Saccharomyces cerevisiae S288C: one gene and its partners. The gene in region 1 interacts genetically with each later gene. Each region holds a gene or a part of one and is shown in the gene's direction. Other genes may lie near its edges. The genes, in order: FUS2, SIM1, MNS1 and GIS4.

Region 1 (5,839 bases):
ACGTTTTTTTATTCAGATAACGATTTTTTTGATTTAGATTTAATCTTAGAGCTTATGAAAGAGTCAGATTTTAAGCGTCTCTCATACAGACTTGCAAAGAAGTATTCAAAGGATTCATTAATTATTGTGGATATTTTATTGAATCTATTGCATAACCCTGTAAAAGCCATAAAATACATAAAAAGTTTACCAATTGATGAAACCCTAAGATGCCTTGTGACGTACTCGAAAAAATTACTGGAGGAGTCACCGAATGAAACTAATGCTTTACTGATAGAAGTATTTACAGGGAAGTTCAAACCATCCACTTTTGAAGTGGATCTGGACCGGAGAGATACGACGGGCGATTTTTCTGAAAATATTAGAACAGTTTTTTACAGTTACAAAACATTCTTCAACTACATGAACTCAAATGGTACATCAGACGCAATGAGCGAGTCTTCAGAGGCATCCCACGAACATGAAGAGCCTACTTATCATCCGCCGAAGCCATCCATTGTTTTCAGTTCATTCGTTACAAAACCTTTTGAATTTGTTGTTTTCTTAGAAGCCTGTTTGGCATGTTACCAGCAGTATGAGGGTTTTGACGAAGATAGGCAAGTAATTTTGACTACTTTATATGACTTATATTTGAATTTGGCGCAAAATGATGTACCCGAGCGTATAGACGACTGGCGTTCAAGAGCAACTGGCGTATTGCGTGAGAGCAATAAATTGGTGTATTCTGCCGCAAGTAATAATACTAGCAAAAGGGTGGATAACTCAATAATGCTGTTAATTTCCCATATGGATCAAAGTAGTGCTTCAGCAAAAGATAAGACGAAAATTGACATAGCTTCATTTGCCAATGATAACCCCGAGATGGATTTGCTGAGTACATTTAGGGCTATGACGTTAAATGAAGAACCAAGTACTTGTCTCAAATTCCTAGAAAAATATGGCACAGAGGAACCCAAGCTCTTACAAGTAGCATTGAGTTACTTTGTTTCTAATAAACTAATCTTCAAGGAGATGGGCGGTAATGAAGTACTGAAAGAAAAAGTATTGAGGCCAATTATAGAGGGGGAAAGAATGCCACTGTTGGATATAATTAAAGCGCTATCCCGTACAAATGTAGCCCACTTTGGGCTGATACAAGACATCATTATTGATCATGTCAAAACCGAAGATACAGAAATCAAAAGGAACGAAAAACTAATTGAATCTTACGATAAAGAGTTAAAGGAGAAAAACAAGAAGTTGAAGAACACCATTAATTCAGATCAACCTCTCCACGTACCCCTGAAGAATCAAACGTGTTTCATGTGTAGACTGACATTGGATATTCCTGTAGTTTTTTTTAAATGTGGTCACATTTACCACCAACATTGTCTAAATGAGGAAGAAGATACTCTAGAAAGCGAGAGAAAGCTCTTTAAATGTCCCAAATGCTTGGTGGACTTAGAAACCTCCAACAAACTTTTTGAAGCTCAACACGAAGTAGTTGAAAAGAATGATCTTTTGAATTTTGCATTAAACAGTGAAGAAGGTAGTAGAGACCGTTTCAAAGTCATAACAGAGTTTTTAGGTAGAGGTGCCATCAGTTATTCTGACATCACTATTTAATGATGGATCATAACGATCTATTGTCGCCGCCGCGTCACAAATGCGCCCCGAACTTGTCGCGAAGTTAATCTGAAACATATATGTTACCTACTGAAACAGCGCATGTTGGAAAAGACAAAGGTGAAGACGAAGTTGTATATTTAAGATAGACCCTTTATACATCCTTTTGAAAAAATTATTAATGTGGCAACCGTCTTTTATTTGACAAAGTATCTTTTTTCTTTGTGAAACCAATTTTAGGTTTTCTTGTTATAGTAAGTTCTTAAGAAAAAGACAAGAAAACCCCTTGCGATGTTTAAGACTTCATATAACTTGTACGATTTGAACTATCCGAAAAATGATTCATTAACGCCAATAAGAGACTACAAAAATGACTATTTTCATAAAAATGATGACAAATTACCAGAAATTGTTAGAAAACCTACGAGAAAGTTATCGAAACATGAAAACAAACTCAACGATAAAAAATTCACGAATAAACGACCAGCAAGTCTGGACTTGCATTCTATAGTGGAGAGCCTGAGCAATAAAAAAATTTACTCTCCTATTAACACAGAGATATTTCAAAATGTCGTGAGACTGAATTTGAGCCCTCAGATTCCCAATTCTCCTCACGAGGGATGCAAATTTTATAAAATCGTACAGGAGTTTTACCTCTCTGAAGTGGAATATTACAATAATTTGTTAACCGCAAATAACGTATACAGAAAGGCATTGAATAGTGATCCAAGATTCAAGAATAAACTTGTCAAGCTTGATTCAAGTGACGAGCTATTGCTTTTTGGGAACATTGACACTATTGCGTCAATCAGCAAAATACTGGTAACGGCAATAAAAGACCTACTTTTAGCCAAGCAACGTGGGAAAATGTTGGATGCGAATGAATGGCAAAAGATATTCACCAAAAATGAGGTACAACAGCAGCTATATTCAACTTTTGATATTTCAGAGGCGTTCGAGCAACATTTGTTAAGAATCAAATCCACCTACACAAGCTATTTTGTTAGCCACCAAAAACAAATGGAACTATTTACTACATTAAGGATGAATAAGAATCATTTTTTTAACAAGTGGTATGAATATTGTTTAAAAGAGAGTGGATGTATAAAGTTAGAGGACATATTGAAAAGCCCGATGAAAAGACTGACTCAGTGGATTGATACTTTGGAAACTTTGGAAAGCTGTTACGAAGATATTCTTTCGCCAGAATTGGGCTTGAAACTAAGCCCGACAAGAAGAAAATATTCTTTATTTTCCAATAAGTTAGAAACCGAGGTCTCCGAGTATAAGAGTAATTCCATGTATAATTTCAGTTTAACCCCATCAGAGATTATACAAAGTTATGATGAAGATCAGTTTACACACCTTTTAAAACCCCCAGACAAACAAAATAAAAATATATGTAATGCATCTCGACAAGAGAGTAATTTGGATAATAGTAGAGTTCCTTCTCTTCTTTCTGGATCATCGAGTTACTACTCAGATGTATCAGGGCTAGAAATTGTCACTAATACTTCAACTGCCTCAGCTGAGATGATAAATCTAAAAATGGATGAAGAAACAGAATTTTTTACATTGGCAGATCACATCAGTAAATTCAAGAAAGTAATGAAAGGTTTGTTAGAATTAAAAAAGAATTTATTGAAAAACGATCTGTCAGGCATTATTGATATCAGTTTAAGAAGAATAAATGCATGGAAAAAGGTGATCGAGTGCGAACGCCCTTCTGGTGCATTTTTTGCGCACGATAACTTAATATCGACCATGTGTTCTTCGTACATAGATAAACTGCATGAACAAAAAAATCAAGTAACAATTTTGAAACTCACAGAGCTCGAAACAGATGTGATGAACCCACTTGAAAGAATCATAGCCCATTGTACTACCGTTAAAAGCAAACTAAAAGATTTGCAAGCTTTGAAGAAAGATTACATGTTATTTTTACAAGAAAAAAAAGCAAATGTGCGAGATATTAAACGTGACTTGTTGGGAATGCATTTCCAAAACCTGCAAAACCAGATGAAAAGGGAATTACCGGTCTTTATTACTTTGATCCACGATACTATCGAATGTATCTTGTTGAACTATATCAAAGTCTTCTTAAAATATTTGGAAATCATTGCTGGTGGAAAAAAATACCTGCAAAAAGATCTTGAAAATATGTCTCTTAATGACTCTATAGCTACCGGCCAAATTAAAAATCTTGATATTTTGCAGTGTTATTCTAAATCACGATATATGACAAAACGCATGGTAAGAAAAGATTGGCCTTTCCCTGGAGACCCTAGTGGAAGCCGTGTTGTCAGAAAACTTTTCGAACTTTAACAAAAGAGTATATTTAGCTTATAGTTTTTAGAATGTTTTGTTTTCTTTTTTATTAAAGTAGTACTACTGCGCTGGAGCAGTATATATGTTGAACTATAGTCAGTCACCTATAATTTGTTTGCTGGCGCGAAGGAGAAAGAAAATTTTAATTAATTCATGAAAAGCCTTAAGAAAAAGTTTAAGAGGAAATGAGCAAATAGAAGGCAAATAGAGGGTGAAAGCATTATGGCCGACATCAATAAATATATTCCGATGGTTGACGCTATTTTGAGCGTATCCAACCCCGATGAAATAAGCCCAAAAAGGGTGAGGAAAGCCCTGCAAATTCTCTATTCAGTTAATTTGGATTCACAAAGAAAGTTAATTAATGAATTGATTCTTGAGAGGTTCGGCGATATACAAGAAAACCCAAGAGTCTTAATTCCGAAGAACGACCTCATTAGTCGGGATCAAGAACTATCTTTGAGGTTACAGAAGGAAGAAGAAAGACCCTTGAGGTCTACGAGGAAAAGGAAAGGTAAAAGTGAAAGTAAATCTAAAAGGAAGAAGAAAAAGAATGATAGTCCTGATTCCAACAGCATTTCCGTCCGCAAAGTTCTGTTGTCAGCTCCTTTACAAAAGTTTCTAGGATCTGAAGAACTGCCACGAACGCAAGTAGTGAAGATGATATGGCAGTATATCAAAGAGCATGATCTTCAAAACCCAAAAGATCGTAGAGAAATTCTATGCGATGAGAAGATGGAACCAATTTTTGGCAAAAAAATGACGATGTTTTCAATGAATAAACTCTTAACTAAGCACTTGTTTAATCCCGATGAAATTGTGAAACATGAAGAGGAACAAAAGCAAACACCCGAAAAAGAAATCAAATTGGAAAACGAATCTCTTCCCAATTTAAGCGGTTGATCTTGGCTGTAGCACTTATACAAATTTAATGATTTTTTTTCCTCTTTGATGACATGTATAAAGCACACTGCACCTACTGTATTGTACTTGAAACAGGTAAATTAACAATTAATGTAGCATTAGTAATAAATAATTTCACTTCACGGCGTTAAAGAAATACTATGGCAAATTCGATTTGAGAATTTCGTCAAATTCTGATGATATCAATTAATGGCATATTTTTTTTATTTTTTATCTGGAGAAAAAAATGTAAAAATGACAGCAGCATCAACAATGAATAAAAGCAAGTACAATAGTCGTAAAGATCTATATTAATTTCATGGCAGCACAATAATACACGTTGTTTAAATTAGTTAAAGTGTCACTCCTTGCTTATCGAAGGAACTATCGATTCCTAATTATGGCAAGGCAAGGGAACTTCTACGCGGTTAGAAAGGGCAGGGAAACTGGGATCTATAATACATGGAATGAATGTAAAAACCAAGTTGATGGTTATGGTGGTGCAATTTATAAAAAATTTAACAGCTACGAGCAAGCGAAATCTTTCCTAGGTCAACCAAATACTACATCAAACTATGGAAGTTCAACGCATGCTGGAGGGCAAGTTAGTAAACCTCATACCACTCAAAAGCGAGTTCATCGAAGGAATCGGCCACTTCATTATTCCTCCTTGACATCGTCATCAGCATGTTCATCTTTAAGCTCTGCTAATACAAATACCTTTTATTCAGTAAAGAGTAATGTTCCAAATATCGAGAGTAAAATCTTTAACAATTGGAAAGACTGTCAAGCCTATGTCAAGCATAAAAGGGGTATAACCTTCAAGAAGTTTGAAGACCAATTAGCTGCGGAAAACTTCATTAGTGGTATGAGTGCGCATGATTACAAGCTCATGAATATATCCAAAGAAAGTTTTGAATCTAAGTATAAGCTTTCTAGCAATACCATGTACAACAAGTCTATGAACGTTTACTGTGATGGTTCAAGTTTTGGAAACGGCACG
Region 2 (5,017 bases), on another chromosome or scaffold:
AAGATGTTTTCCAACAATCCTAAAGATGAATTCAAATATGAAAAACATGAAAATACAGCCATATAAACACGTAATATTTTTACCTTAATGTTTATGGACAGCCTTTTTACTTGAAGAATGATCTAACAAATATTTTTTTTGATACATTCACATTTTTTTTTTGTTCATGATGTTAGCATCTGCTTAGTCTTTTTAAAATTATTTAATTTAACGTTTTATTTATGTGAACCTTTTTTTATTAGTTGTATTTACTATTTATTCAAGAATCATTCTTTACTTTATATTGATATCGTTTTTTTCCCCCTACTTCCTCCTCTGGTGTATTCACAGCTAGGTGCTTCTCTTGTCCTCATCCGGTGGAGAAAAAAAGTGAAAAATAAGTCAATGGAAAGGGGGAAGGGGGTAGGTAAATAGAGTGAATAAGTTTTATTCATCATGCCCAACTTCTATTAATATATACTCAATTCAAATATTGATCAGGATTTCAAAGAGTATGTCGGAGTTACAGTCACAACCTAAAAAGATTGCCGTTGTTACAGGCGCCTCAGGTGGTATTGGATATGAGGTAACGAAGGAATTAGCCAGAAATGGCTATTTGGTTTATGCATGTGCAAGAAGACTAGAACCAATGGCACAATTGGCCATCCAATTTGGTAACGATAGTATCAAACCATATAAGTTGGATATTTCCAAGCCAGAAGAAATTGTAACATTTTCTGGTTTTTTGCGAGCTAATTTACCTGATGGTAAATTAGATTTATTGTACAACAATGCCGGTCAGAGTTGTACATTCCCTGCATTGGATGCAACAGATGCTGCAGTAGAACAATGCTTTAAGGTCAATGTGTTTGGTCATATCAACATGTGCCGTGAATTGTCGGAGTTCCTTATTAAAGCGAAAGGAACCATTGTCTTCACTGGTTCCTTGGCAGGAGTTGTGTCATTCCCCTTTGGTAGCATTTATTCCGCTTCTAAAGCTGCTATCCACCAATATGCTCGTGGGTTACATCTAGAGATGAAGCCCTTCAACGTGAGAGTGATTAACGCTATTACTGGCGGTGTGGCTACTGATATCGCTGATAAAAGGCCCTTGCCTGAAACCTCAATATACAACTTCCCTGAAGGTAGGGAAGCTTTTAATTCAAGAAAAACCATGGCTAAGGACAATAAGCCCATGCCAGCTGATGCGTACGCAAAGCAACTGGTTAAAGATATCTTGAGCACTAGTGACCCTGTAGATGTTTATAGAGGAACGTTCGCCAACATCATGCGTTTTGTCATGATATTTGTTCCTTACTGGCTATTGGAAAAAGGACTTTCCAAAAAATTTAAATTGGACAAAGTTAATAATGCTTTGAAGTCGAAACAGAAGAATAAGGACGATTAGTGTTTCACCATCGTCAATAGCTACCTATATTTATATACAAGATTCCGTATAGTTTGTACACCACGTCAGGACATCAATAGCTAATAATCGTTCTAATGCTAATGTTCAACTGCTCTTTAAGTATTGTTTACGTCTCGTCGTACCAGTATGCCAAATTCCTGTCACTTCACTCATTCTCTTTGCTCTTACCGTTTGAAACGCGCTGGGACGGAATTCGCTCATTTCGCATCGTGCTTTGTTGTTTTTTTTTTTTCAAAATTGCCATTGTTTATTTATAAACTACATGAAATTATTCTGTATTTATCTTCGCATTCCCTCTCTTACTTCAAAAGTGAGAACAGCATATTCAAATATATATATCTACTCAGTTGAATAAGACACTATAGCAAGACCATTTGAACTGAAAGAAACAGTTTCTTTGCTCCCCTCTCGAATTCCAACTATTTACAGTCCTTCCTTTATAAAAATTAACTAGCGAGCAAGAAAACATTTGTTTAGTGCTACCCAACTACTTACATTCCTTTAAAAACCACAATATTTAAGTTAACCTGAGCTTTATTTTTAGTAAGTTATTTACCACAATTTTTCTCATACACCTTTACAATCCGTATTGCCATGAATACCAAGGCTTGCTCAGCTTCTGCAGCAGTTCAACCCTTTCCAATACCGCCAATGCGTCCTCAAAACGTTAGTTTAGTCGTGCTCAACCGCTATTTTTGGTTTTATCTTCGTTTCTTTCTCCTGAACGACATTCGTCACGAAAATTGCGGCGGAAAATTTCCTGATGCGGACACTTTTTCCCGATCCGGACATGCCTTTTTTTGGCGTTTCGCGTCAGTCAATAGAAGTTTCAGATCTACATTAGGAAGAACCAGAAAATAGCCATTAATGCTTTCAGCATAGCACAGCATAGCAGCTGTGTATATCTTAAATAAGATGTAGACTGGTTTGCATTTGGAAAGGTTTTGTGTAAGAAAAGCAATACTTGAGGTAAAACAAGAGAAAAAAAAACACTTTACTAACTAATATCCAATCCTTTATTTTTTTGCAGAAATGAAATTCTCAACTGCCGTTACTACGTTGATTAGTTCTGGTGCCATCGTGTCTGCTTTACCACACGTGGATGTTCACCAAGAAGATGCCCACCAACATAAGAGGGCCGTTGCGTACAAATACGTTTACGAAACTGTTGTTGTCGATTCTGATGGCCACACTGTAACTCCTGCTGCTTCAGAAGTCGCTACTGCTGCTACCTCTGCTATCATTACAACATCTGTGTTGGCTCCAACCTCCTCCGCAGCCGCTGCGGATAGCTCCGCTTCCATTGCTGTTTCATCTGCTGCCTTAGCCAAGAATGAGAAAATCTCTGATGCCGCTGCATCTGCCACTGCCTCAACATCTCAAGGGGCATCCTCCTCCTCCTCCTCCTCCTCGGCAACTTCTACCCTAGAAAGCAGCTCTGTTTCTTCATCTAGTGAAGAAGCTGCTCCAACATCTACTGTCGTGTCAACTTCTTCCGCAACCCAATCTAGTGCTTCTTCTGCCACTAAATCTAGTACTTCTTCCACTTCACCATCTACTTCTACTTCTACTTCCACTTCTTCTACTTCCTCTTCCTCTTCCTCCTCCTCCTCCTCTTCTTCTTCTTCTTCTGGCAGTGGTAGTATCTACGGTGATTTGGCCGACTTTTCAGGCCCAAGTGAGAAATTCCAAGACGGCACTATTCCATGTGACAAATTCCCATCTGGTCAAGGTGTCATTTCTATTGACTGGATTGGCGAGGGTGGATGGTCCGGTGTGGAAAACACCGACACTTCCACTGGCGGTTCATGCAAGGAGGGGTCCTACTGTTCCTACTCCTGCCAACCAGGTATGTCTAAGACCCAATGGCCATCCGATCAACCATCTGACGGTAGATCTGTCGGGGGTTTGTTGTGTAAAAATGGTTATTTGTACCGTTCTAACACTGACGCGGATTACTTATGTGAATGGGGTGTCGAGGCTGCCTATGTTGTTTCTAAACTAAGCAAGGGTGTCGCCATTTGCAGAACCGACTACCCGGGCACTGAAAACATGGTTATCCCAACCTATGTTGAAGGGGGTAGCTCTTTGCCATTGACCGTTGTTGACCAAGATACTTACTTTACTTGGGAAGGCAAAAAGACATCTGCTCAATACTACGTTAATAACGCCGGCGTCTCAGTTGAAGATGGGTGTATCTGGGGTACTTCTGGATCTGGTATTGGTAACTGGGCACCATTAAACTTTGGTGCTGGCTCCACTGGTGGAGTGACATACTTATCATTGATTCCTAACCCAAACAACAGCGACGCATTGAACTACAACGTCAAGATAGTTGCTGCTGATGATTCATCCAATGTCATCGGTGAATGTGTTTACGAAAATGGTGAGTTCTCTGGCGGTGCTGACGGGTGTACCGTCTCTGTTACTTCCGGTAAAGCTCATTTCGTCTTATACAATTAAGCTACGTGACTACTACTTTTCCTTTTTTTTTTCTTTTTTCGAACACATCTCACCCCCTATACCTCACACAATCACTATGGTCCCCTTTTCTTTTTACCGATATTTATACTGTCCACCTTTTTCTTTTCGTTAATGGCCTCAATGTTTCTGTACCATTATCCAAGTGAACTTGTTAGACGACCAAATATAGCCAAGATTCATTACGATTATCTTTAACTAGCAAGTAGTATTCTTGGATAGAGAGATTTTCAAAGACGGAACAATTTTAAATAGATTTACATAAGAAAACACATACTGTCCGATACCCATAAGAAATTTAAGAACTCTTTTCATCTTCAGCTTTCCGGCCTCCTTTTACTGTAGCCTGTTCCTAGACAGCTAAAAATAGTACATATGCAGCTCTGCAATAGTCTCAAAGGGGATATTGTGTAGGTTTACGAAATCATCACATTTCCGAATCAGGACATGAAGGCACAACTTTCCGCACGTAGTGTTTTCAGCCCCCAGCGCCTGTCGGCGCGAAGAGGATCTGCGGAGATGAGCTTTGCCCCGCCATTACCCGTAAAATATTACTGTTTTGGGCAATTGTGGATCAAAAAGGGAAAATGCGGATGGTGAAAAAAATTTTTGGAAATTTACTGCTTCAGATGGGGGAACTTTGTAAGTTCTTCCTTTTTTTTCGTAGAGGTTGGAAAATTCAGAGTGCTAAGAAATTAAAAGGTATGCACTGCCTATTCTCATAAAAGCAAAAGTGCACAAAAATAATAAGGTGTGAAGCAATAGTAGAAAAGACACTGGGAACCCAAGGTATCTTATTTTAACAGATAAGTAAAACTAAGATCAAATCGCGTACTGATATCACTTAAGGTTCGCGTATTTTAAAGGCTACGCAGAAGAGGAAATAAATTGCGTGCAATCCCTGCGCTTAACTCATACAAAAAGGCGCAAAACATTTCAAGAGTCCCACGATTAATTGCAGAAATTGAAAAAAAATAAGTAAAGACGAAAATCAAAGTGGATGCCATATTATGAAGCAGGAGCCACATAGACAATCCGAAGAAAAAGAGAAGCCGAAAGGACCAATGGCTGTTGAACGAGAGCAGCATACCTCATTATCTTCTGGTACAACCGTGACAGCTAGTACAG
Region 3 (5,259 bases), on another chromosome or scaffold:
TTTCAACAGTGGGTTCGATGGAGCTTCTATAAATACCGCCAGTATTTGCTCACCAGAATGTAAAATATTTTTCAGAGCGTTCATTGACGTTGAATCTCCCTGTCCCAAGAAATGTGTGTGATTGAACTTCCGAAGAATGCTCAGAGTATCTGTATATGGGAATCCAAACATGACGGTCTTCTTGAACGGAGGTCCATATCCAATCAACTTATCTTGTCTACTAGAAGACCTTGATAAGCGCTTGGCATCGAAGTTTAAAAGCAGCCTGTGGGCAGTGAAAATGGACGCCATTCCACTTGGAAATAAGTAAACATCCGTATTAGGGTTGACATGAAACTTCAAGTCATCGGTAGCTGTGTTTTCAAAAGTACTGTTTGAGCCACTTTCTCCCATAGAAGTAATTGTTTCGGCAGGTATGTCCGAATTCAACTGATCATCATCCAGAGCCTCTCCACTGCCAACATTGAATGGACCGTTGCTCTCGTTATAGTGTTCAAAAGAGAATAGGTCCGATAGACCTTCAGAGTCAATTTTTTCAACAACTTTTGTGGCAATCCTCTTTCGTATTAGATATTTGGCTTTATCAGCAGCAAGAAAATTTAAATTTCTCCCAAATCTCGTTTCTATATATTCTTCGTTCACTCTGTTTTCATCTTCGGTCATAAATTTTTTACCGTTATCCACTGTTTCCATCTTCTTAAGATTATCCTTGACTTGTAATTCATGTAAAATATACTCCGCCATTCTGCTAGATACAATCTCACCAGAATGTTGCCAATACTGCTTCATCACGGGGAATATTTCCTGGTCTACAAACACCACCGTGATTTTACATTCCCTTCTCCAGAGCTTTTCCTCTTGGTTCATAGGTTTAGGTGTACATAGTTGTAAGATGCGTACTTTGGTAGAAAGACCCGTTTTCACTTTGATAAACTCTCTGCACCTATTGGCAACCTTGTAAGAGGGGAAGCAAAGACAAGCTTCATCTTCCATGGAGTACTTAGCGGATAAAATTTCACATAATTTCTTTATTGACTTGTGTATGAAAAATCTTGGATATCCGGTAGTAAGCGAGTTAATTATACTGCTTTCACCCTCTTCATAGCCTACTGTAGCTTCCCATGTGGGCAAACACACGGAAACAGCATGTTTTGTGTTGGGCGGAATAGATTCACCAATGGTTCTAGATATCATTTTTTCTTCTGTTCCTCTTCTCTCTCTTGTTTATGTAGGTCCCGAATCGGCACATGAGCGTCATTCTACTATCGTTATATATATGGGTATATATATATATATATATCCAAAATATATGACTAATTTTTAGACCGAGATATTGTGAAGTGCAGAGGCGCTATCATGATTTTTGTTTTTTACATCCACGCATGAAGATAAGTCATATTTACTAGGTTTGAAGGGTTTTACCTGAACAACACTGGCAATCATTGAAGTTAATTGAGTTCTTAAACCGCAAGATATTTTAATATGAATACTGCTATTTTTAAATAAGACTGTAGCAAAATGTGGGGTTAAACTTTTACAAATTCACTTTGGTTGTAACGCATTTTCTGTGGAAGAGCAATTATTTGGAATTTTCAGTTTCGCCAAACGAAAGAATGAAAGAAATGTGCTTTGCCAAGAAACGAAAGACGACAGAAAAAGGTAGTAAAAGAGGAAAAGGTTAAACATTGAAAAAGGATTCTATGAAGAACTCTGTCGGTATTTCAATTGCAACCATTGTTGCTATCATAGCAGCTATATACTATGTGCCATGGTACGAACACTTTGAGAGAAAGTCACCGGGGGCCGGAGAAATGAGAGATCGGATTGAAAGCATGTTCTTGGAATCGTGGAGAGACTATTCCAAGCATGGCTGGGGATACGATGTGTATGGACCTATTGAGCACACTTCCCATAATATGCCTCGTGGCAACCAGCCGTTAGGCTGGATTATCGTAGATTCAGTGGATACCTTGATGTTAATGTATAACTCCTCCACACTATACAAAAGTGAGTTCGAGGCAGAAATTCAGAGATCGGAGCATTGGATAAACGATGTTTTGGATTTTGATATTGATGCCGAAGTGAATGTTTTTGAAACTACTATTAGAATGCTAGGTGGTTTATTATCCGCATATCATCTATCTGATGTTTTAGAAGTAGGTAATAAGACTGTCTACTTGAACAAAGCAATAGATTTGGGGGATAGGCTTGCTTTGGCGTTCTTATCCACTCAGACCGGAATTCCATACTCAAGTATAAACCTTCATAGTGGCCAAGCGGTTAAGAACCATGCAGATGGGGGGGCATCTTCTACCGCAGAATTCACTACGCTACAAATGGAATTCAAATATCTGGCGTATTTGACAGGAAATCGTACTTATTGGGAGCTGGTGGAGCGTGTTTACGAGCCATTATACAAAAATAACGATCTTCTAAATACCTACGATGGATTGGTTCCAATTTATACATTTCCAGATACTGGGAAGTTTGGTGCTTCGACTATCCGGTTCGGATCAAGAGGTGATTCTTTTTATGAGTATTTACTAAAACAATATTTATTGACGCACGAAACACTTTATTATGATCTGTACAGAAAATCCATGGAAGGTATGAAAAAGCATTTATTAGCACAATCCAAACCCTCTTCTCTGTGGTACATTGGGGAAAGAGAACAAGGTCTACATGGACAACTTTCTCCTAAGATGGACCACCTCGTGTGCTTTATGGGGGGATTGTTAGCATCAGGCTCTACTGAGGGCCTTTCTATTCATGAAGCCCGAAGACGTCCGTTTTTCTCTCTTTCCCTTGAAAGAAAAAGTGACTGGGATTTGGCTAAAGGGATAACTGACACATGTTATCAAATGTACAAGCAGTCTTCCTCGGGGCTTGCGCCTGAAATCGTTGTCTTCAATGATGGAAACATAAAACAGGATGGTTGGTGGCGGTCGTCTGTGGGTGATTTTTTTGTTAAACCACTCGATAGGCACAACCTACAAAGACCAGAAACGGTGGAATCGATTATGTTCATGTATCATTTATCTCATGATCACAAATATCGTGAATGGGGGGCGGAAATCGCAACTAGCTTCTTTGAAAATACCTGTGTTGATTGTAATGACCCAAAATTAAGGCGGTTCACCAGTTTAAGTGATTGTATCACGTTACCTACAAAGAAATCTAACAATATGGAAAGTTTCTGGTTGGCAGAGACTTTAAAGTATTTATATATATTGTTTTTAGACGAGTTTGATTTGACCAAAGTTGTTTTCAACACAGAAGCTCATCCTTTTCCAGTATTAGACGAAGAAATATTAAAATCGCAGTCTCTGACCACAGGTTGGTCGTTGTAGGTTAGTGTGCTATATAGTGGCCAGATTCGCCTTTTAAAATTCACTATGCGGTGTGATGATGTGCTATACCATTTTTTCCATGTTTAGGAAAATGAAAAATTTGCAATGCTTACTTCAGCAAAAAAGTATATTTGAATCAATATTCATTTATATATTTCAGCATAATCAATCATTTTTCGTCTGGATATTTGACACAATTTTGATTTTGACGAAGACATTTTATTCTCGATGGATATTACAGAATTGTTACAGTGCTTTGCCTGTACTTTGGACCATAACGCTGCCGTAAGAACTAATGCAGAAACACATCTTAAAAATGCAAGTAAAGTACCGGGATTCTTAGGCGCATGCCTGGATATCATTGCTGCTGATGAAGTACCAGAAAACATCAAATTATCAGCTTCCTTATATTTCAAGAATAAGATTACATACGGATGGTCTGCTGGTGCAAGACAGGGTTCAAATGAATTATTAGATTCACATGTTGATCCGGATGAAAAACCAGTAGTAAAAGATATGTTAATTAAAACAATGGTCAGTGTGTCCAAGACCTCCCCGCGTTGTATCAGAGTGCTAAAATCTGCCCTTACTGTAATTATTTCAGAAGATTACCCTAGCAAAAAATGGGGCAATTTGTTACCAAATTCCTTAGAATTACTCGCAAATGAAGACATCACAGTAACATATGTCGGACTTCTGTGTCTTGCTGAGATTTTTAGGACCTATAGGTGGAAGAATAATGATGAAAGACAGGACTTAGAAGAGTTGATTTTAAATTATTTCCCTGCTTTATTAAACTATGGCGCAAATGTCCTTTTCCAAGATGGTAAATATATGAATAACGAGCAAATTGGCGAATTGGTAAAATTAATCATTAAAATTTATAAGTTCGTTTCATACCATGACCTACCATTTACATTACAACGCTCAGAATCGTTTACCCCATGGGCATGTTTTTTTGTCAGCATCATTCAGCAGCCATTGCCTCAGGAAGTTTTGGCTATATCAGATATTGAGGTCAGAAGTAAAAATCCATGGGTCAAATGTAAGAAATGGGCTCTTGCAAACCTTTATAGACTTTTCCAGAGATACGCATCAACGTCATTAACAAGGAAGTTTCAGTACGATGAGTTTAAACAGATGTACTGTGAAGAGTTTTTGACTCAGTTTTTGCAAGTCGTCTTCGATCAAATCGAGAAATGGGGAACTGGACAGTTGTGGTTAAGTGACGAATGCTTATACTACATATTGAACTTTGTTGAGCAGTGTGTTGTGCAGAAAACAACTTGGAAACTTGTTGGGCCCCACTACAATGTAATACTTCAACATGTCATTTTCCCACTACTAAAGCCCACTGCAGAGACTTTGGAGGCCTTTGACAATGACCCTCAAGAATATATCAACCGGAATATGGACTTTTGGGATGTCGGCTATTCCCCAGATCTTGCCGCACTGGCTTTGCTAACGACATGCGTGACGAAACGCGGTAAAACGACCTTACAACCGACCTTAGAATTTATGGTCTCAACCTTACAAAGTGCCGTTGGTGATTACAACAATATTATGTTGGATAATGCCTTGCAAATTGAGTCCTGTTTGAGAATATTCTCCAGCATTATTGACCGTTTGATAACTAAAGATTCTCCATTTGCCAGTGAGATGGAAAAGTTTATATTGACATACGTTTTACCTTTTTTTAAGTCTCAGTATGGGTTTCTGCAAAGTCGTGTTTGCGATATTTGTTCGAAGTTGGGTTCTATGGATTTCAAAGACCCGGTAATAACCTCTACTATCTACGAAGGTGTTATGAATTGTCTGAATAACTCTTCTAATTCTTTACCTGTAGAATTGACAGCTGCATTGGCATTGCAAACTTTTATCAGTGATGACCAGTTTAATATGAAGTTAT
Region 4 (6,041 bases), 480 kb from region 1:
CATTCACGCTAACGTTGTCTACAAATTATTTGAGTAATATTGTAAAATCCTCCAGCTCCACCTCATCACCTGAAAAATCTGGAAAAAAAAAGTGCGAAGACATCAAGCAGCAAGATACTTCTCATAATGAAACCAAATAGAGTGCCTATATTAACAACATTTTCTTCATGTAAACAATATTGGCCGCGCTGATGACGAACGACATTCAAATGTCTAAAACGGCTAAACTTAGTGAATACATTTACAAATTCATTTCTGTTTCGGAGGGGTGACAGAATGACTATAAATTCCATGCTTAAGACTTATCGCCGATATAAGTAAATATTGAAATGAAAATTAATCACCATCGACCGACTAGAGTTCGCATAAGTATATTATCGTGTACGGTGTAAGAATATAAATAAATGACGAACGGTCGTCAAACTTAATGGGAGCTGAAACACAAGGATCCGAATTATGATAGGGTAGTGAATGGCGACACATAAGCGAATAAAGAGAGATCATAATGCTACTGTGTAGAAATATTGATCACTTCTCGTGGGTTCGTAAATCCTCGGGGAAAAACTACAGTATACTTTGTATTCGCAAAAATATTACCGTTCCAAATAATAGTATGCCAACGATTATCAGCAAGTTCATCTCATTCACAGTACCCAGAAATACGAAATGAACAACTTTACACAACGATGATTCCTTTTCTCATAATACTTTCATTCGATTCATCCTTATATATTACTCACACACATCAGTTGCTCCAAAATCTAATAACACTGTGATCCCTGTTCTACTACTCTACTTTAATTAATTCCATCTTTTAACAACCTATACTATGGAATATAATTGATAACGATTTTAATTTTTTGAACGAGTAGCCGATAGACCAATATTACCTGCTGTTAGAATCAAATATGAATATAGACAATGTAATTATGTAACCAGAAGGAATCACAAGAAAACAGAATACACAAATAATCAAGTTAGTATGGCAACTTGGCCGAGTGGTTAAGGCGAAAGATTAGAAATCTTTTGGGCTTTGCCCGCGCAGGTTCGAGTCCTGCAGTTGTCGTTATTTTTTGCCTCTTGATGGATTTTTAAGTTTTGCGCTCATGCTTGTTATGATAATAGGAGAGCGAAATGCGGTAATTTTGTTTACGTCCATAATCATTTTTTCGTTTTGAGATTATTTCGGATCGGCAAATGCATTTTTTTAGCTCTGGAAATGTTGTTTTCACTTTTTCGCTTGCTTATGTGCATCCTAGGACTTTAGTTCACACCATCGATTATTTCTGTTAGGTTACACAGCATCTTTTACGTAAATGGCATGTGGCGATTCGCCAACTGGTTTCTCCTCATCGTTCCTAGCGCGGGGCTGACGGCCTTCCTCTGTGTTTTCAGGTAGTATCATCGCTATCGCACTCCACCAGCTACGAAGCCGGTGCAGGCAGAAACATTACTTGCATAGTAATACACGAAATTTATTTACTTTAAACCTTTATATCGAATTTATATCCCTAAACATTGAATTCTTCTCTTTTTTTTTCTTTTTTTAATTAGTTTTTTTCCTATTGTAGTTTTTTCCATCGCAAGCTAGATAAATATCTTCAACTTATTCACTTTGGCAGGACCAGATTTAACTGACTTGTGTAGCTAAGGAACGTGAAGGCTGAACAACAGCGGGAACTAAGTGCAGAATATATCGGCAGAAGTTTTGCAGAAATAACCCCTCATTAACACTCACTCTCATCCTTCAACTGCTCGAAAGACGGTTAACAAAAACCATCAAAAAGCACTCTGTTACTTAAATATAATGCAAAAATCCGTTAGAGTGGGCGACTATTTTGACAATGATGACAATGGTTTGTGGTCGTGGTACTTAACAAACCTCAGATTAGGCGATTTTGAAGAACTTATAGGCAATCAATTAAAATACACTCTGTTAAAAAGATTTCTGAATAGTCATTTTTATGGTGATAACAATATTTCGGCCAGGCCAAACAAGAAGATTTTGTTAGTTTCCATCCCAGAGAATGTTCATGAAGATATCTCCATATTGGAAATCTTCCTCAAAGATTACTTTCATCTGGAAAAATTAGAACACATTCAAATCTCAAAATTAACTCACTCCCACTGCTACAATCATGAAAATCATTACCTATTGACGGACAACCTCAACAATTTCCAAGACCCTACCTTTTTAGAATTTGCGAGTACAAGTTGGCAAGTTCAAAAAAATTCCAAGGCTTTAAACAATAACAATAGAAATTCAATACCACCACCCACAATATCTTCATCAAAAGCTTCAAACGGGAAGCTAGAATCAAACGTTTCGGATGATCAGTGGTCAAATATAAATACCCAGACTTCAACAGCTACCCGAACTAATACGAATACGAGGACTTTGACATCTCCGGACACAGTTGATATAAACGTTACATCCGTGAATAGTCAAAGCAATAATAATGATACGCCTCAAGATAATGAAAACGAAGTTGATGAAGAGGATGCCACAAGTTCTATAGTCCTAAATTTTTCTCATTCGCGAACAGTAGATTCAAAGCCTAATAGACTACCCAAAATTTTTCCATCATACACTAATGAAGACTATACACCGTCACATTCCGAGATAATGTCAATAGATAGTTTTGCTGGCGAAGACGTATCATCCACATATCCCGGACAAGACCTGAGTTTAACTACTGCCAGGCGCGAGGATGAAAGTGGTCAGGATGAAGTTGAGGATCATTATAGCAGAGTCTCACATGATCTAGGTGACGAGAGTATCGATCAAGCAAGTTATAGCATGGAAAGTTCGGTCAGCTACACTAGCTATAGTAGTAGCAGTAATAGTAGTAGTGCCCACTACAGTTTAAGCAGTAGCAGCCGAGGTAATCCAAAACGTGAAAACATCGATCACACGAATGCCACCTATGTCTCTGAATTGTCAAGTATAACGAGTTCTATAGACAATTTAACTACTTCGACAACCCCAGAGGAGGAGGATAATTTAATTCATCATAACTATGACGCCCAAGGGTATGGATCAGGAGAGGACGATGGAGAAGAGGTTTATGATGATGAAGATCTTTCTTCTTCCGATTACTCAGTACTATCCATTCTACCGTCAATCTCAATTTGTGATTCTCTAGGGTATTTTAGGCTAGTTTTGCAATCTATATTAATTCAGGATCCAGACACCAAAGAAATTTTTACTGCGATTAGACAGTCAAACAATAAACCTACAATGGCAAGCGTTACCGATGATTGGTTGCTGTATGATTCCAATTTTTCAATGAATAATTTACAAATTCTAACACTTCAAGATTTGCTAGATATCAAGAGATCATTTCCAAAAATTTTATTTTACACAATGGTTATTGTGACAAACTCCGGCAAACAGGTTGAAGAAGAATTCAAAAATCCCAATTATGATAATAGGGAAGGAATATCAAAAGAGCAACCTCTAGATTCTGAGTTATCATTAACTAACGACCCGCAACAATATTTCCCGACTGCATATAATAACGGTTACAACGACTATATTGACGATGAAGACGATGAAGACGATGGTGACGATGCTTCTTTATCAGAACAGTCAGGCCCACAAATGTACATACCAACTAGAATGGAATCTAACGTTACTACAGCACATCGTTCTATTAGAACCGTAAACAGTATCGGGGAATGGGCATTCAATAGACATAATTCTGTTACAAAAATCGATAAAAGTAATAGTAACGAGTTGGATAACTCTAAAACAGGTGAAAGTACAGTTTTATCAAGTGAACCTCATCCAATGACACAACTGTCGAACTCTAATACGACTTCCTCGAATTTTAGCCATTCTTTGAAGACAAAAAATTCTCACAAACCTAATTCCAAGGGTAACAATGAAAGTAATTCCAAAAATGAGTTGAAAAAGATAAAGAGTTCCATCAATGCTATGAGTGCCGTGGAAAGGTCCAAAAGTTTGCCTTTACCTACATTACTAAAGTCTTTAAGCGGCATAGATAACCCTACTCATGCCACTAACAAGGATAGAAAGCGTTGGAAATTCCAGATGAATAGGTTTAAGAATCATAAAAACAGTGGTTCTGCAGGTACGGATAAATCTCAGCGTTGTGCCATCATGTAAAGAATACTTTACCACTATATATAGATATATATATATACTTGTATTATAATTATAATCATTATTGGTACTATTGCACTTACCAGTTTCTATATTGACATTGAAGGTGATACAGAGAATTCATACATAGTCTAAATATATTTAAAGTATAGGTTGTGTACATAAAAAAATACCGAGGTGATACAATCTACCTACTTTCGGCGAAAAGGCGAAGCAAGGTAAGTTAAAAAAGTTTAATTGTAACATTATAGAAAAAGTTCTTTCGGTTACCCAGTTTTCCATAAAGTTCCCGCTTTAGTTCATATGCTTATTCAAAGCTAATTGAACGTCTTCTGCATTGATGACAACCCCTCTTTCTGAACATTTTGCCTTTGCCATTAGCTCGGAACATAAACCATCGACATCAATATCTGAGTATTTCGGATGTGTTGTTATTCTATCCCAAATTTCCGAACACCTTAGTAAAGAGCCTTCCTTAGATGGAACGACATCATTATCATTATCGTTATCATTGCCATTATTGATTTTGTCAGCATTCTGTAAACTACTGCCATTTTTTTGTGAGATTTCGCTTTCATTTCCTGGTACCGATTGTAGATATTGTTTCGGAAGCTCTGGTTCTTCGTTAATTAACTGGTTCTTGATTAAACTTGACTCATCGTCTGACATATTAGCGGCTTTTTTGTCATCATCGTCATCCTCTAAAAACTCTCCAAATAAATTGTTACCTTCCTTCGATGAATCTCTAAAAAACATGTCGTAGTCAAACTTATTTTGAGATTGAGATTCAGAGAAAGGTTGTAATTGAATATTAGTTGAATTGTCGTCTGGGAAAGCCAGATTTGCGTTGATAAAAGGTATATCCTCTTTGCTGCTTTGCAGTAGGCTGGGATTGGTGTTAGAGGCAGCATTATTGCCGATGCCGGTAGATCCCGGACTAAAAAAATTAGTAACTTGGTTCATATCAAACGGTGACTCGGATATGAATGGGAGTACATCATCGCTATTATTATTGTTCTTTTTGTTCTTATTGCCAGTGCTACCAGTGCTATCAGTGCTACCAGTGCTATTATCATTCACGACGTAATGATTGGCACTCATATCGAAACCAAGTCGGCCAAAACCGGAGAAGGAATTTTCATATTTAGTAGCATCAGTAGCAATGACATTAGCAGGAGTATTATCTGTAATATTAGAATGTGATTCCCAAGTATTTGTTAAAGCAGGAGAATTTGAACTTAGTATAGAAGATGACGCGAAAACTTCTTTATCAAGAGCCGAGATGGGTTTCTTGGGAATGGGACATTGCCTTGTTCCACATACCTGGTTCATTTTCGAACAAAACTCCGAAACTTGTTCATCAAATTGGTTTTCAAAATTAAAGTCATTAGAAAACATATTACTGTCTAAATTCTTAGTTTTACTATTGCTGCCATCATCACCTGACACAAACCTGTTAGTATATATTACATTATCTAACCAATCCATCGAAGTGGAGGAGTTTGGTGTGTTATTAAGAACATCGTTACTATTTGAAAGGGAATCCAAAGTAGCGCTGGAGGAATCTGTAGCGTCACTTAATTTCTTTTGTGTCTGATTTATAGGCATAGGAGCCGAATGACTTGGATCATTTGGTGAAGGTAATTGTTTCCCCACATTTTTACTGTTGTCGTTGTCGTTGTCGTTATCAAGCGGATATTGAAACGTGAAATTCATCTTTTGTTTAACATTTTCTTGTATGTCATCATTGGGTGTGTCAATTGGCTCGCTATTGCTGTGGTTAACGTTATTTTTTGAAAAATGCAAATTAGGATCTCGCCTTGCTAAATATTCCAGCACTTTTGAGTCATTTCTTGTCTCTGGTCTATATTTTTTTAACTCATTCACCAGAGTGATTAACTGGTCCCTCAAA

What was found.
Region 2: mutations in FUS2 (region 1) and SIM1 together harm fitness more than expected from each alone (negative genetic interaction), as found in Saccharomyces cerevisiae (2 studies listed by BioGRID).
Region 3: mutations in FUS2 (region 1) and MNS1 together harm fitness more than expected from each alone (negative genetic interaction), as found in Saccharomyces cerevisiae (2 studies listed by BioGRID).
Region 4: mutations in FUS2 (region 1) and GIS4 together harm fitness more than expected from each alone (negative genetic interaction), as found in Saccharomyces cerevisiae (2 studies listed by BioGRID).

What each region holds. Positions count from the first base shown.
Region 1 is NC_001145.3:735,030-740,868, forward strand, and holds FUS2 (Fus2p), read left to right. Parts: upstream 1-1,896; coding exon 1,897-3,930; downstream 3,931-5,839. Other genes in the region: tethering complex subunit PEP5, read left to right, coding at 1-1,605; TRI1 (Tri1p), read left to right, coding at 4,156-4,836; RNH1 (RNA-DNA hybrid ribonuclease), read left to right, coding at 5,237-5,839. UniProt on the Saccharomyces cerevisiae protein: Promotes cell fusion during zygote formation.
Region 2 is NC_001141.2:125,711-130,727, forward strand, and holds SIM1 (putative glucosidase SIM1), read left to right. Parts: upstream 1-2,440; coding exon 2,441-3,871; downstream 3,872-5,017. Other genes in the region: alpha-ketoglutarate dehydrogenase KGD1, read left to right, coding at 1-23; AYR1 (acylglycerone-phosphate reductase), read left to right, coding at 494-1,387; POG1 (Pog1p), read left to right, coding at 4,900-5,017. UniProt on the Saccharomyces cerevisiae protein: Involved in the remodeling of the cell wall during the various phases of yeast culture development and under various environmental conditions. Required for the maintenance of the CLB5 kinase activity.
Region 3 is NC_001142.9:665,944-671,202, forward strand, and holds MNS1 (mannosyl-oligosaccharide 1,2-alpha-mannosidase), read left to right. Parts: upstream 1-1,700; coding exon 1,701-3,350; downstream 3,351-5,259. Other genes in the region: STR2 (cystathionine gamma-synthase), read right to left, coding at 1-1,194; NMD5 (Nmd5p), read left to right, coding at 3,579-5,259. UniProt on the Saccharomyces cerevisiae protein: Involved in glycoprotein quality control as it is important for the targeting of misfolded glycoproteins for degradation.
Region 4 is NC_001145.3:254,183-260,223, reverse strand, and holds GIS4 (Gis4p), read left to right. Parts: upstream 1-1,807; coding exon 1,808-4,132; downstream 4,133-6,041. Other genes in the region: TRM12 (tRNA(Phe) (4-demethylwyosine(37)-C(7)) aminocarboxypropyltransferase), read right to left, coding at 1-3; DNA-binding transcription factor YAP1, read right to left, coding at 4,424-6,041.